3 linked regions of the Coturnix japonica genome follow. The protein of the gene in region 1 purifies or fractionates together with the protein of each later gene. This does not show direct contact. Links are inferred from orthologs where the notes say so. Each region holds a gene or a part of one and is shown in the gene's direction. Other genes may lie near its edges.

Evidence for each region. The genes of interacting proteins can lie anywhere in the genome.
Region 2: the proteins of CDK19 (region 1) and MED13L purify together in Homo sapiens (affinity purification with mass spectrometry; 5 studies listed by BioGRID and IntAct, counting the BioPlex papers as one, with this or other methods). This does not show direct contact. The link is inferred for Coturnix japonica from reciprocal best matches to the Homo sapiens genes CDK19 and MED13L.
Region 3: the proteins of CDK19 (region 1) and MED18 purify together in Homo sapiens (affinity purification with mass spectrometry; 5 studies listed by BioGRID and IntAct, counting the BioPlex papers as one, with this or other methods). This does not show direct contact. The link is inferred for Coturnix japonica from reciprocal best matches to the Homo sapiens genes CDK19 and MED18.

The regions. Positions count from the first base shown.
Region 1 is NC_029518.1:60,492,109-60,495,962, forward strand, and holds part of CDK19 (cyclin-dependent kinase 19), read left to right. Parts: intron 1-1,779; coding exon 1,780-2,046; intron 2,047-3,854.
Region 2 is NC_029530.1:10,336,841-10,341,391, forward strand, and holds the start of MED13L (mediator of RNA polymerase II transcription subunit 13-like), read left to right. Parts: upstream 1-1,550; 5' UTR 1,551-1,652; coding exon 1,653-1,724; intron 1,725-4,551. UniProt on the Homo sapiens protein: Component of the Mediator complex, a coactivator involved in the regulated transcription of nearly all RNA polymerase II-dependent genes.
Region 3 is NC_029547.1:21,930,262-21,934,169, reverse strand, and holds MED18 (mediator of RNA polymerase II transcription subunit 18), read left to right. Parts: upstream 1-1,442; 5' UTR 1,443-1,555; coding exon 1,556-1,628; intron 1,629-1,794; coding exon 1,795-2,348; 3' UTR 2,349-3,207; downstream 3,208-3,908. UniProt on the Homo sapiens protein: Component of the Mediator complex, a coactivator involved in the regulated transcription of nearly all RNA polymerase II-dependent genes.

The DNA.
Region 1 (3,854 bases):
AAACCGCTATTATAAGATAAATTACTTCTTAACGCATTCTATGACAAGCCTGTTTCAGACTTTTGTTTAACTTCTTACAGTTTAAATCCCCGTAGAAACAGAGTCTGGCTGAGATGACATTTGAGGATTACTAGTGGTAGGATGTATTACTGGTTTTGCTCAGTGTGAAATGGAAATACGTATCATCCAGCAGCCCTTGAAGAGGCAAATTTAAGATCTTTGAGATTTTAAATGAATACACCGTTGCAAATTTGATCTGATTATATCTTGGGAAACTGTTGTGATGAGTGGCATAGATATAGATTTTTGTGTCATTTTTCTGAGATAACTGAAATGGCTTGCCGTGACTGAGAGCATCAGCAATTTAGTGCTAGTGGCAGTTGGTTGTCAGGATTTCTGATTAACTGATAACATGAGGATGTAATAAAGGCTGCCATACCAAACCTTTGAGAACTACATAAGCAGATATCACAGGGAAAAAAGACTATCCTGAAATGTTCCACACTCCCATGCAGTACACTATGATTGGGGGGTGTGACTTAAATGTAGGGATTTTTAATTCAAGACATGAAAATTGCAGAGCTTTCTATGATGAACAGGTTACATACCTGACATTAGGAGCACAGTTGCTTTTCTTTGCAGTTCTCTTACTTGCTTCTTCTCTTGGAGGAGTCTTCTGTAATGCTCAAAAGCAGACAAACACAGGTGGTCTTTCCTTGTGAGTGTCTAACCATAGGGAGAAGAGTTGCAATTTTGCTACTTTTCTAACCTCTCTAGACCTTAATGCTTTTTCCAGTCCATAGCTTCTGAAACCAGAAGAGCTGCACCTTTTACTCTTCTGCTTCTGTGTTCTCCTTAACTTTTTCCCTCCCTTCTGTGGCACTTTGCTCTTTCTCCCTGTTAGGCCATGGTATTGTATTAATTGCCTCACTTCTCTTCCTTTGCTATTCTTTTCTTTCTCATGCCAGATTCTTATCTCACCTTTGTCCTTCTCTTCTATTTTCAGCTGTTTCTCTCTGGTCATTTGTCACTTCCTGCTGTCTCAGTAAGATTTTCAGACCTTATAGCTAGGTACCATGCTGGACTGTGTTCCCAATGTACCACTCTTTCCAAGGTGCTTTTAAAAGAAAGAGAGAAAAAGGGTAATGGAACCTGCTTTTGGTTCTGCCACAGAATTTCCTTGTAACTGGAAGAAATGATGTAATGTTTCTGGTCTTGTTTTGCTTACCTTTCTGATGGCAACACTGCCAGCCTCCTTTGGATGATTGCAGTGCATCATCTGTGGAAGTTGGAAAAGTGGTTTTAGTTCTAAGTGAATGGGGCTGTTAAAGCACTTAGGAAAATGTACTGTGGTTCGCCACATCTGCCACTGAGAACCAGTGAAATTTGGGGCGCTTTGATTCTGCTTATTAAGTGTTTATAAATAGCTCCTTCCATCCTGCTCACTGTTACTCTGGCCTAAGTGCTTGCCTAGCTGCAGCAATCACTAAGCTGTCATGCCAACTCTAGTCAATCCTGCTTTGTTAAAAAACAAACAAAGAAAAAACAACACAAAACCACAATGGAAAGAAGTGAGCCACAAATGAGATACCCCAATTTGAGGCAGGCAGGAGCACGCAGGGAGCTCATGTTATGCATTACCTGGCCTTGCTTTCCTGGCGAGCACGTGGGCCTGCTGCCTTTCCAGCAGCACAGTGGCACCCAGCTTAGTGACTCTGTCAGGATCACAAACAAGTACAGAGCGAATGATGGTGTGCTGTCACTTCTTTCTTCCCTTAGAATCAGCAGCAGCAGAACCAACATCAGCAGCAAACAGCACCTCAGCAGCAGCCGCAGGCCGCACCGCAGCAACCGCAGCAGCAGCAGCAGAACAGCACCCAAACCAACGGGACGGCCGGGGGCACGGGTGCGGGCGGAGGGGGCGCGGGTGCGGGACTCCAGCACAGCCAGGACTCCAGCCTCAACCAGGTGCCTCCAAACAAGAAACCACGCATAGGGCCTTCAGGCGCTAACTCAGGCGGGCCTGTCATGCCTTCAGATTATCAGGTACTTCTTGAATTTTTGCTGCTTCTGATTGATTGGAGGCAAAATGTTGTTTTCTCTGTTCCCCACTGCAATAAATATGAATATAATGTTTTAATGAATTTTCCTCATAACCTTAGCTCCGTGCTCTGATACATTAGATAAAAATGCAGCTTTAAAGCCTATTAGGGAAGTAAAAACGTCTGCTTCACCCTCTAAAGTGTTGAGGACTCAACCACCCCAGGAAAGCATGTAAATATGTGTGTAGCTTTATTTGAGAATAATCTTAGCGAAGCCACTGCAACTATTTCATGAATGTAAATGCTGCATCATATCACATTCAAAATACTTGGCTCTTGGCAAGGTTAAGTCCTGTGTGAGAGGCAGATTCTGGGAAGCAAGTCAAAATTAGAGCCAGGCTTTCTCCTTTGGTTTCTGCTTTGTTTTACCTCGTATCATCACACATATGGAACAATTCTGTAGTTTGTTCCAGTATCTTACTAAATTTACTTCTAAAGTTAGACTACATGATAGCACAGGTTTGGTTCATCAGTATGAATCATGCTGAAGCAGGGCATGAGCGTGTGTAATCTCTGTTGTGGCAGGGGTTGAATAGCTTTCATGCTTTTTGCTTCAGTAGCATTCATACATAAAAGAAGTATCACTGAATTGTTTTTGGACTTGAACTTTTGTCTCTGCTTAATAGAATTATGATTCTTTTCTCTGAAAAAGTGACACTAAGTGTCCAAAGAGTTGATTCAACCACGTTCTTCAAATCAGATAAAAGGAAGTTAGCTTAGTAAAGGTATGTTTTAAAGCATGTTAGGGATTCTGCTTGCTACCAACCCTCAAGAGTGCACCATGTTCAAGAAACGTTTTCAGGCTATTTTAAACAGATTTAAAACAAAACAAAGCAACTCTGCAATTGCTTTGGCTTCTCCACCCGTACCTCCTCCACACACAACTGCTTTCTCAGTGCCAGACATTTTTCTCCTATTTCTCTTTTACTCTTTTAATTGCAAATTATCACACAGGTACTGAGGGCAGTGTAAGGTTAAAGACAACAAGGTTTCCTTTCTGAAAAGTTCCAGGCAGGCTTGAAGTCTGGACAGATCACTACAGCTGTCTGACTACATAGTATTTATGGCTGGTCTGTTTTGATCTGCATTTTGAGAGCTGATGTGCTGCATTAGATGATGTTCATTACAGAATCCTTGCACAGCTCTCCAAACTGTTGGCAAGTTTCCACCTTGCAAGTTTTTTAGCAGTCTAAATCTAATTTTTCTCCTTTTTTTGAGATGGTTAAATTCTTTTTTACCTCCCATGACCATTTCCTTCTAGGATTTAACAGCACAGGCAGTGAAATAATGATCTGTGTGCTCCCTTTACATCACTTGCTAAACTGTCTGATCTGATTATCCAGTTTTAAATTTGTATCTGGCTCTCTGCCCTTAAATTGTAGCTGACAGTCTTCTGTTCCAGGAAGGAATGTTTGCAATTTGTCCAAGTCTGACTTAGATCTATAAAATAATAATAATTAAAAAAAAATATCTCTGCAGAATAAAAATAAGCGTGAGCAAGTTAATTTGTTCCTGTAGTCCTGTGCATCAATTTTACTCCATTATATTCTAACTCGAAAGTAGTAGGAGGAATTGCTTTGCTTTGAGTTTCATTTAGCTGGTTATCTGATGTCTCTGTTGAATTTCTTTAATGATTCATCAGCATCAATATGTGTTACTTGTACAAATGCCAATGGGAATTCTGTCTTGAATTTTACTGAGAGTTGCTTAAATGACCTCAGGTTTTTCGCTTAATATGATAAGGTGATGTTT
Region 2 (4,551 bases), on another chromosome or scaffold:
GTGAAGAAAGGCTGAGTGAACTGAGTCTGTTTAGCCTTGAGAAAAGACAACTGAGAGGGGACCTGATCCAGGTCTATAAATATCTGAGGTGTGCGGGGAAAAGTGGCGAGGCCAGACTCTTTTCAGCAGTGTGTGGAGGCAGGAAATGGACAGAAACTGGAGCATAGGAAGTTCTGCATGAATGTGAGCAAGAACTTCCTTACAGTGAGGGTGAGGGAGCACTGGGACAGGCTGCACAGGGGGGTGGTGGAGTCTCCTTCTCTGAAGATATTCAAGGTTCACCTGGACGCTGAGCTGAGTGACCTGCTGTAGGGAACCTGCTTTGGCAGGGGTTGGACTCGATGTTCTCTGGAGGTCCCTTCCAACCCCTACGATGCTGTGATTCCGTGATTTCATAGCCGAGTTCCACACGTCGGGTATCTCCCAGGTCCCTTTACACCAGTCCCACCACATCGGTGTGCGAAGCTCCTCCGGACACTTGGAGGCCCTACGAGCCGGGCCAAGCTCTCGCTGTGAGCGGGACCCTGCGGGGCAGTCCGTGCGTTCCCGCTCTCGGATCCAGTTCGCGGACTTGGCAGGTGCTGCGAGACACCGCCGGCTGGAAGGGGCGGCACAGCGACCGCACAGCGGCCGCCCCGAGGCCGCCCCCCGCCCGCAGCGCGCTCCTCCCGCCCGGAGCCCTCAGGGCGGCGCCCAGCAACTTTCCCCCGCCCGGGGTCGATGGCCCCGCTCCGCTGCCGGCCGCAGCTCCCAGCTCCCGGCACAGCGCCCCCAGCGCAGCGCCCCCAGCGGCGCGGAGGATCTTTGCGGCGGAGGAGGGAGGGGCCGGGGGGAGCCCCAGCGCCGTGCCCCCGCCCTCCGCCGCGAGTCACGTGGGGAGGCGCCGACCAATGGCGAAGCGAGCTGCGGCTGGCGGCCGCCATTGCTGTCAGAGTGGAGAGAGGCAGAGGCGAGTGTGTGAGGAGGAGCGGGTGAGCGGGGCCGCCGTGCGGGCAGCGCCAGGCGGAGGGGGGCGAGGACGGGCACGGACAGCGCTCCCACTCCGGGCCCGGGCCGCCGCCCGCCTCCCGCAGCACCGGGAGACCCGCACGGAGCGTAAACAAGGCGGCGGCGGCGGCAGCAGGAGGAGGAGGAGGAAAACACCATCCACCCACCGCCAGCGGCGGCAGCAGCGAGGGGCGGCCGGGCGGGGCGGGGAGGGACACGGGCTCCGCACAGCGCCCCCCGCCCGCCGTCGCCGCCACTGCCCGCCGCCCTCCCCCGCCCCGCAGGGGCCGCCGCCGGACCGCGGGAGGAGCCCCGAGCCCCGCCGCGGCCGGGGGGGCCGGCGCTGGACGCGGAAGAAGGGCCCCGGGCCCCCCCACCCCTCTCCTCCTCCTCCTCCTCCTCCTCTACCTCCTCCGCGGTGCTGAGGCGGCCTGGAGGCCCGCGGGAGGGCTGCCCGCCGCCGCCGCCGCCTGCTGAGCGGCCCCCGCCGGAGCGGGCCCCCGCCGGAGCGGGCCCCCGCCGGAGCCGCCTGAGCGCCGCCCCCCCGCCCGCCGGCACAGCAGCGCTCCCGGGGCAGCGGGCAGCGCCCGGCAGCGCCCGCAGCCTCCCCCCGCCGCCGGGCCCCGCTCCTCAGACATGCCCCGCGCTGGGGCTCGCCGAGGATCATGACTGCAGCGGCCAACTGGGTGGCGAACGGGGCCAGCCTGGAGGATTGCCACTCCAATCTCTTCTCGCTGGTGAGTGCCCGAGGAGGTGAGGGGTTGGGAAGTGGGGGTTGTGGGGAGGGCGGGCCGGCACGGCGGCTCGCACCGGGCGCTGCGGGTTTGGCGCCGGGTGCGGCTGCCGGGGGCTTTATAGCCCGGGCCGTGGGGCTGCTCCTCCGCTGGCCCCTCCCCCGGCGCGGCGCCCTCGGCCGTGTCTCTCCGTGTCTCTCCGTGTCTCCCCGTGTCTCCGCTCGGTGCCCCCGGGCCGGGGTTGCTCTATTGTCGCTGTGACAGCAGCATTAGGGCGGCAGCGGGCGGGCACGGGGCGCTGCGCGGGTCTCGGGCCGCTGTCAGATCCTGGTACGGCCCCGCCTGGCACAGTGCCTGCCCCGGGACACCATGGGTGCAGAAATAATCATTTATTCCATCCCTGGGGTGAAACAACCGAAGATGTTGTCTGCCGGGTAGCACTGATGCTGTATTTCTCCGTCGTTGGTAATGGACAACTTTGTACTTGGATTGATTGTTTGGTTTAATGGTGCAGGAATTATGTTATTGGCTGTTTCCACGCAGAAGCAGCGTCCCTTGGAAGCCGGTTTACCAGCAGGCTGTGCACCTGCTGCCCACAGCCCCTGTTTCTGGCTGGGCATGGCCGTGCTGGGGGGGCTGGCAGCCAGGTGGGGTTGGGGGCTTGATGTGTGTGTGGGAATGCACGGTGCGGGGTGGGGATGGAGGGGGGGGCGTTGGGCCCTTCCCCTCTGTGAGCGCTGGATGTGGCTGGTGGTGGTGGGGTCTCATTTCCAGCAGAAAGGAGGGGAGTGCTGTTGGTTGTCTTGCAAGAAGGAAGGGAAAGAAGAAAATGGACTGGAAATGTGAATGATGTTTTTGTTGAACGTTTTTCTTTTCATTGCTGTGTGTCATTGTTATGCCTCCGTCTGCTGGCTTCTCTGTTATTTTGTTGCTCTTATTTGTTACTTTGTTCATACCTATGGAGAATGTGGAGCAGGAGCCCTCAGCGCTCAGCTACTGGGAAAGGAGTCCCGGCCTCCTTCTGTGGGAATGAATGCAAGTCTAATTTTGGCTTTTTCATGAACTTGTTCCATCACCTGGCCTTGTGCATGGGCTTTCCCTTGGCGGTGCTCTCTGAGCCGTAACTGCATGTAGGAAGCAGTGCTGTGTGTGCAGAGCTGTGGGAGCTGTTGTGGGGACTTTGAATGTACTGCTCATACATGTGAAGGAAGAATGGTGAGCATGAGGGAGACGGCTGTATGGATGGACAGAGGAACGGAGTGCTCTCTGCTTTGTGTACGGAGCCGTGAGGTCCCCATTTATTCATGGAAAAGTGATTATTTTTGAGGTGTGTAACTTTACATACTTGCAAACTGCAGGTCTGCCTTTGGTTAATAGAAATAATGGTTGGCATGCAATTGGCATCCGTCATGATCTGAAGTTACTACATAGTGACTGCAGCGTGGTCTGTCTGCTTTGTGTTTCACCCTGCTGTGCTGGGGAAATGGGAGCTTTTCAAATAGGGCTGTGATCCCGTCAAAATGCAGGTGGGCTTCATAGTAATTATGATTTTAATTTGTGATCTCTTTGTTTCTCAGGTAATTTTGTGGGAGGCATCCATACCTGTAATGTGGTACTGTGCATCCAGCTGTAATGATTTTATTATTTTCAGGGTCTACTTGCAAACAGAAGAATATCCATTATGTATATACTTGTATGTATGTGTGTGTATGTATGTATACACACATATATGTATATATACATATACATATATATATACAAATGTGCTAACTATTGGTGTGATTTGTTTTCAGGTAAATTGATATTTGTTATGGTTTATGTATCAGTGAAGGATACTGAAGAAGGAAATAGGGACTGGGAGTGCGTGGCCAGCAGAACTGACCTTACAGCCTCAAATTGTCCTACTCATTTAAAAACTTATGAAGTGTTAAAGGTGCAGTAGTTGGGGTTACTAATGGGAGAAAGTTTTGCTCATCACTTACTCTTTCAGTGCAACAGAACAGAAACATGCACAAATGAATCAGCTGTTGATGGGAACTCATTCACTTTGTAGGAGTGAGGTGAATTACTGAGCTGTATGAAACCCATTCTGCCATTAGACACTGAGTATTACAGTTCATTGTAAATCTCCAGCTTCGTTTTGGGCCTGAGTCAAAAAGAAATGTTCTTGCCTGGAGAATTACAGTTCAGAAATAGTACTTCTGTTTGTTCGTGTTGAAGCAATGTTTTTCCCCACAAACATTCCCTTTGTCTAAGGAGGAACAGCAGCTCCTGTGTCGGAGGAGCTGGGCTGTGCTGTACGACTGAGGTTGGCTTTGGGGTGTTTGTCACCCCATCATTTCCAGCTTGTTTGTCTGTCAGCTGTAGATGGACTTTAGAGAGATGGTGGCACTGCTGTTTGTTTGAGTCTTCATGGGGAAATATTCCTGGAAGTATCTTACTGTCATGAAAAATATTTTCTAAAGCTTTCTAGTAACTGTTTACGTTTTGTCAGTGGTGCCCGGAATGTGTAGAGGCTCTTAGTTTAAAATATGCCACCTGAGGGGAAGGCATAGTCTTAAGGTTATAAAATGAGCTCTGATCGTGCACATATCAGAAGTGATGTCCGGCACCAGCAGTGGTGTTCAAGCAGGTGTGAGGGGCTGCTCTCCATGGTGTGCTGTGTTGGCAAAGAAAGCTGAGCCATTGTGGGAAGTGGGTTAATGTGAGTGGTTGGGCAGGCAGCCTGCACATGGAAACCTCAATGTCTGCCCTAAACATAAGCGTTTCTTAGTAAGGCGATACGAGGGTCACAGAACATGCTTCAGATGGCAACGTGTCCATCCTGTGG
Region 3 (3,908 bases), on another chromosome or scaffold:
AGACAGCTTGTTAATTCAAACAGACGCGGTTTCCTGTACGTTTTGGATAGGAGTGCTGCATTCAAACAAGAATCAGTAACAGATGTTTACATTTCTTTTAAAAGAAGTCTCTCAAGGCACGGTGTGTTGGCATATTACAAACTATCTTTTGTTCTCGGTGTTTGACACTTATTCCCCAGGAAGAGGTGTGAATCTACTGCTTACACTGAGATAAATGAAGTCAGAAAATCACACTGTTCTGTAATACTACAGGGTTGGGGTTGTTTTGTTTTTTGTTTTATTTTATTTTTTGCTTTAATTCCTTTTAAACTTTTTTGAGGGGGAATATTTATTTTAAGATTTTTTTTTTTTAATGGAATGTACTAATTAAGGGAATTCAGTGAAATGTCATGTTAATGCAACAGATTTTGTATTAAAATTCTGTACTTGGACCAGTGAAGCAGTCTCAGGTGTTCTTAATGTAATATAGAAAACACAGGCGTGTTCTGGTTTGATTCACCTTCTGGAAGGTTGCTGTCAGCATCACCCTGTCCAGCTGATCATGGGAGGAGAACTGTTCATGTGCTTGATGATCTTCTTAGGGGGCAGAGGTGGTGGCAGATCAGTGGTTTGGCCTAGATGTGTTCGCTACAGGAATGTGGTGGAGCTTTTAAACGGGTGTCTAGCAGAGGTGCTCTTTAAAATTCAGCTTCAATGTAAGTCATATGGGTTGTCTTGTAGTGCATCACCAAATCAACATTATTGTAATGAGCTCACAAAGCTGCTGTGCAAGCATGAAGACGTACTACATGCTAGATATGCTACGACAGCATGCAAATACCATGGATGCACATCTTCCTGGAGTATTGTTAATAGCTGTCACTTTATTTGAGGAAGATCTACTTTATTTCTGTGTTCACTCAGTGAGCTTATTTAAAGTAACGCTGTACTGACAATAAACAGTGGCTCAACGTTCATTATGATGGATTTAACTGGCTGTAGAATTAACATTTTGTATTATGACTAAGTCGTGTACATTTTGGTACAGAACTTCTTTTTCAGTTTGAGTAAAATAATCCTAGATTTACTGGCTTAATTGTGATACTTTCAGATTACCTCATGATGCAGTGAAATAACCTAGCAAACAAAAGGTTAAGGAAAACTGTCCAGCATACAGTGCAGTATTAAAGACTGAAGTGGGTCTGTGATACCAGCACTTCTCACCTGGTATTGCAGAAGCCGTTACATTAAAAAAATCCCTTTACAAGTACATCAAAGTAAGAGGAGAACCAAGGAAAATGCCCAACCTTTACTTGATGCAGCGGGGAACGTGATCACTGAGGAGAAGGCTGGGATTCTCTGAGGAGGAGAAGGCTGAGTTCCTCGATGCCTTCTTTACATCTGCCTTTAAGGGGCAGTGCTGTGTGCTTGGGGATGAATAACTGGATGTCTGTGAGGAGGAAAGGGAGCTGGTCGATGTTCGGCTGCTCCTCACCGCCAGGCCGCACTGTGGCGCCCGCCTCCTCCTTCAGGCCTTGCCTTTCTTCCCGCCGCCATCTTTACCACAGCCGCCAAGATGGAGGCGCCTCCCGTCACCATGATGCCCGTTACGGGCGGCACTATTAACATGATGGAGTACCTGCTGCAAGGTATGGCCGGCACACAGGGGCTGTACACGGGGCTCGGCCGCAGCGTGGGGCCGAGGCGGGCGGCGAAGGGGAGGTACCTCCCCGCGGAGGCCCCTTCGCCGCCTGCCTCGGCCCCGCGCTGCGGCGGGGAAGGGGCCATCGTCTGAGCCGTGTGTGTCCACCACAGGGAGCGTCCTGGACCAGAGCCTGGAGAGCCTGCTGCACCGCCTGCGTGGGCTGTGCGACAACATGGAGCCGGAGACCTTCCTGGACCACGAGATGGTGTTCCTGCTCAAGGGGCAGCAGGCCAGCCCCTTCGTGCTGCGTGCCCGGCGATCCATGGATAAAAGCGGCATGCCATGGCACCTGAGGTACCTGGGGCAGCCGGAGATCGGAGATAAAAACCGACACGCTTTAGTGCGAAATTGTGTGGACATCGCCACCTCGGACAACCTGACGGATTTCCTGGTGGAGATGGGGTTCCGTATGGATCACGAGTTCGTGGCTAAGGGACACGTGTTCCGAAAGGGGATCATGAAGATTGTGGTGTATAAGATCTTCCGTATCTTGATGCCTGGTAACACGGACAGCATCGAGCCGCTTTCCCTCTCCTACCTTGTAGAGCTTAATGTTGTGGCACCAGCCGGACAGGATATGGTTTCTGATGATATGAGGAACTTTGCAGAGCAGCTGAAGCCTTTAGTACACCTGGAAAAAATTGACCCTAAGAGGTTAATGTGATGAAAACTGGCTTGACTATCATAGCATTGCTGTAGCCAGAAGTGAGTGCAGGGACTGGTTGGAGTCCTATGCACACAGAACTTTTGTTCAGGGCTCCACTGCTTCCTCTCTGTGCTGGAGCAGTAAGCAGTATTAAGGTGCAACACTTATAAATAGAGATATTGACTTTATGTTGTTGGGGAGCAAGGGGTAAAAGGCTTTGATGTATTGGTTTTGTTTTTGTTTGATGCTCAGCCAGCATTTGGTATTTGGTTATGCAGGTTACATATATGCATAAGAGCAGAATGTATGTAATTCCCAGAGATGGAAGAGAATAAAAGTCTGTTTAGTGCATTATTCATTGGATAGTCGGTCCCTGATGTCTGAAAGGAGTAGTTGCAGGAATTGCTTAGTTTTAGATTTGAAAGACCTGAAAGATTCCCTCCTAGCAAATCCAGACTGGGAGCTGTTTGTTATTGGAAGCAGCTTTGTTGTTAGTGTAGAACAGGAAGCTCTGGGTCTGCAATTATAACCTGGGGGGAAGAAACAGAATTAAGACCCTTCACAGCCAATATGTTGGCTCAGAAAGTTGAGCCCAGTGCCCCCGAATGTGCCTGTAGAGAGTCAGGTGGATGGGGCCAGGCTTTGACTGTTGTTGCCCAGTGTTGGGACACAGGAAGGTCCATCTCAAAGTGAGGAATTACTGCTTCATTTGGGGGTGACGTGGAGCAGGCTGCACAGAGAGGCTCCTTCCTGCTTACAGCCACTTCCATCAGCCCAGCACGATGCATTAGTTTCACAAAAGCAAGGTCAGGCATCCCACTATTTCTGTGTTTTTGTGCTCTTTGTATGTTTTATTAAAAATATATCTTCAAAAATACCCGTCAGCTATTTGCATTAATTTTGTATTTTCTTTGCAATTCTTTTTCACTCAATACAAGCCAGTATTTTGGGCAAACATGAAGTAGTCTTCATTTCTCAAGATCATTATGGAAACGTACAACCACGCTGCCTTTTACTAAAACACACCAATTGCTGTCAGTCGCTGTCATGCTTTAACAGCACGAATGTTGCTGTATCTCCAGCACTCCTCAGCCCTGGGTCTCCATTCTCCCCACACACTCTCCCCTAATGTTGTTATTTCTGTACAAATGAACACAGAAGCTGAAGTACAACTTTGGAAGCACTCTATATTGTCTAACATGCTTCTGATATGCGAGTGCAGGGTGAGACGTTTCACACATCAACAGCTTATGTGGATATTCCAGCTTTCACTTCAGCAACCTCGGTAACACAGTCAAGCTGCTTTCTGCTAAGTGCTTTACATACACTGTAGTGTATGTGTATGAAGCGGCATACAGCTTCAGACACAACCCAAGGGCTGGGTACGGCAGAAGATACTGAAATAAGTCTCCTTAAACACTAGAAAGAACAACAAAACAGGGTTTTTTTTTTTCTTCATAATTTTTAATACTTTTCAACTTTAAATACCGGTTTTAAATTTGTGATTGTAACATAGAAGAGCCAACTTTTTGTAATTTTTAAAACTTATCATTAGGATCAATAAAGCTATTATATAAC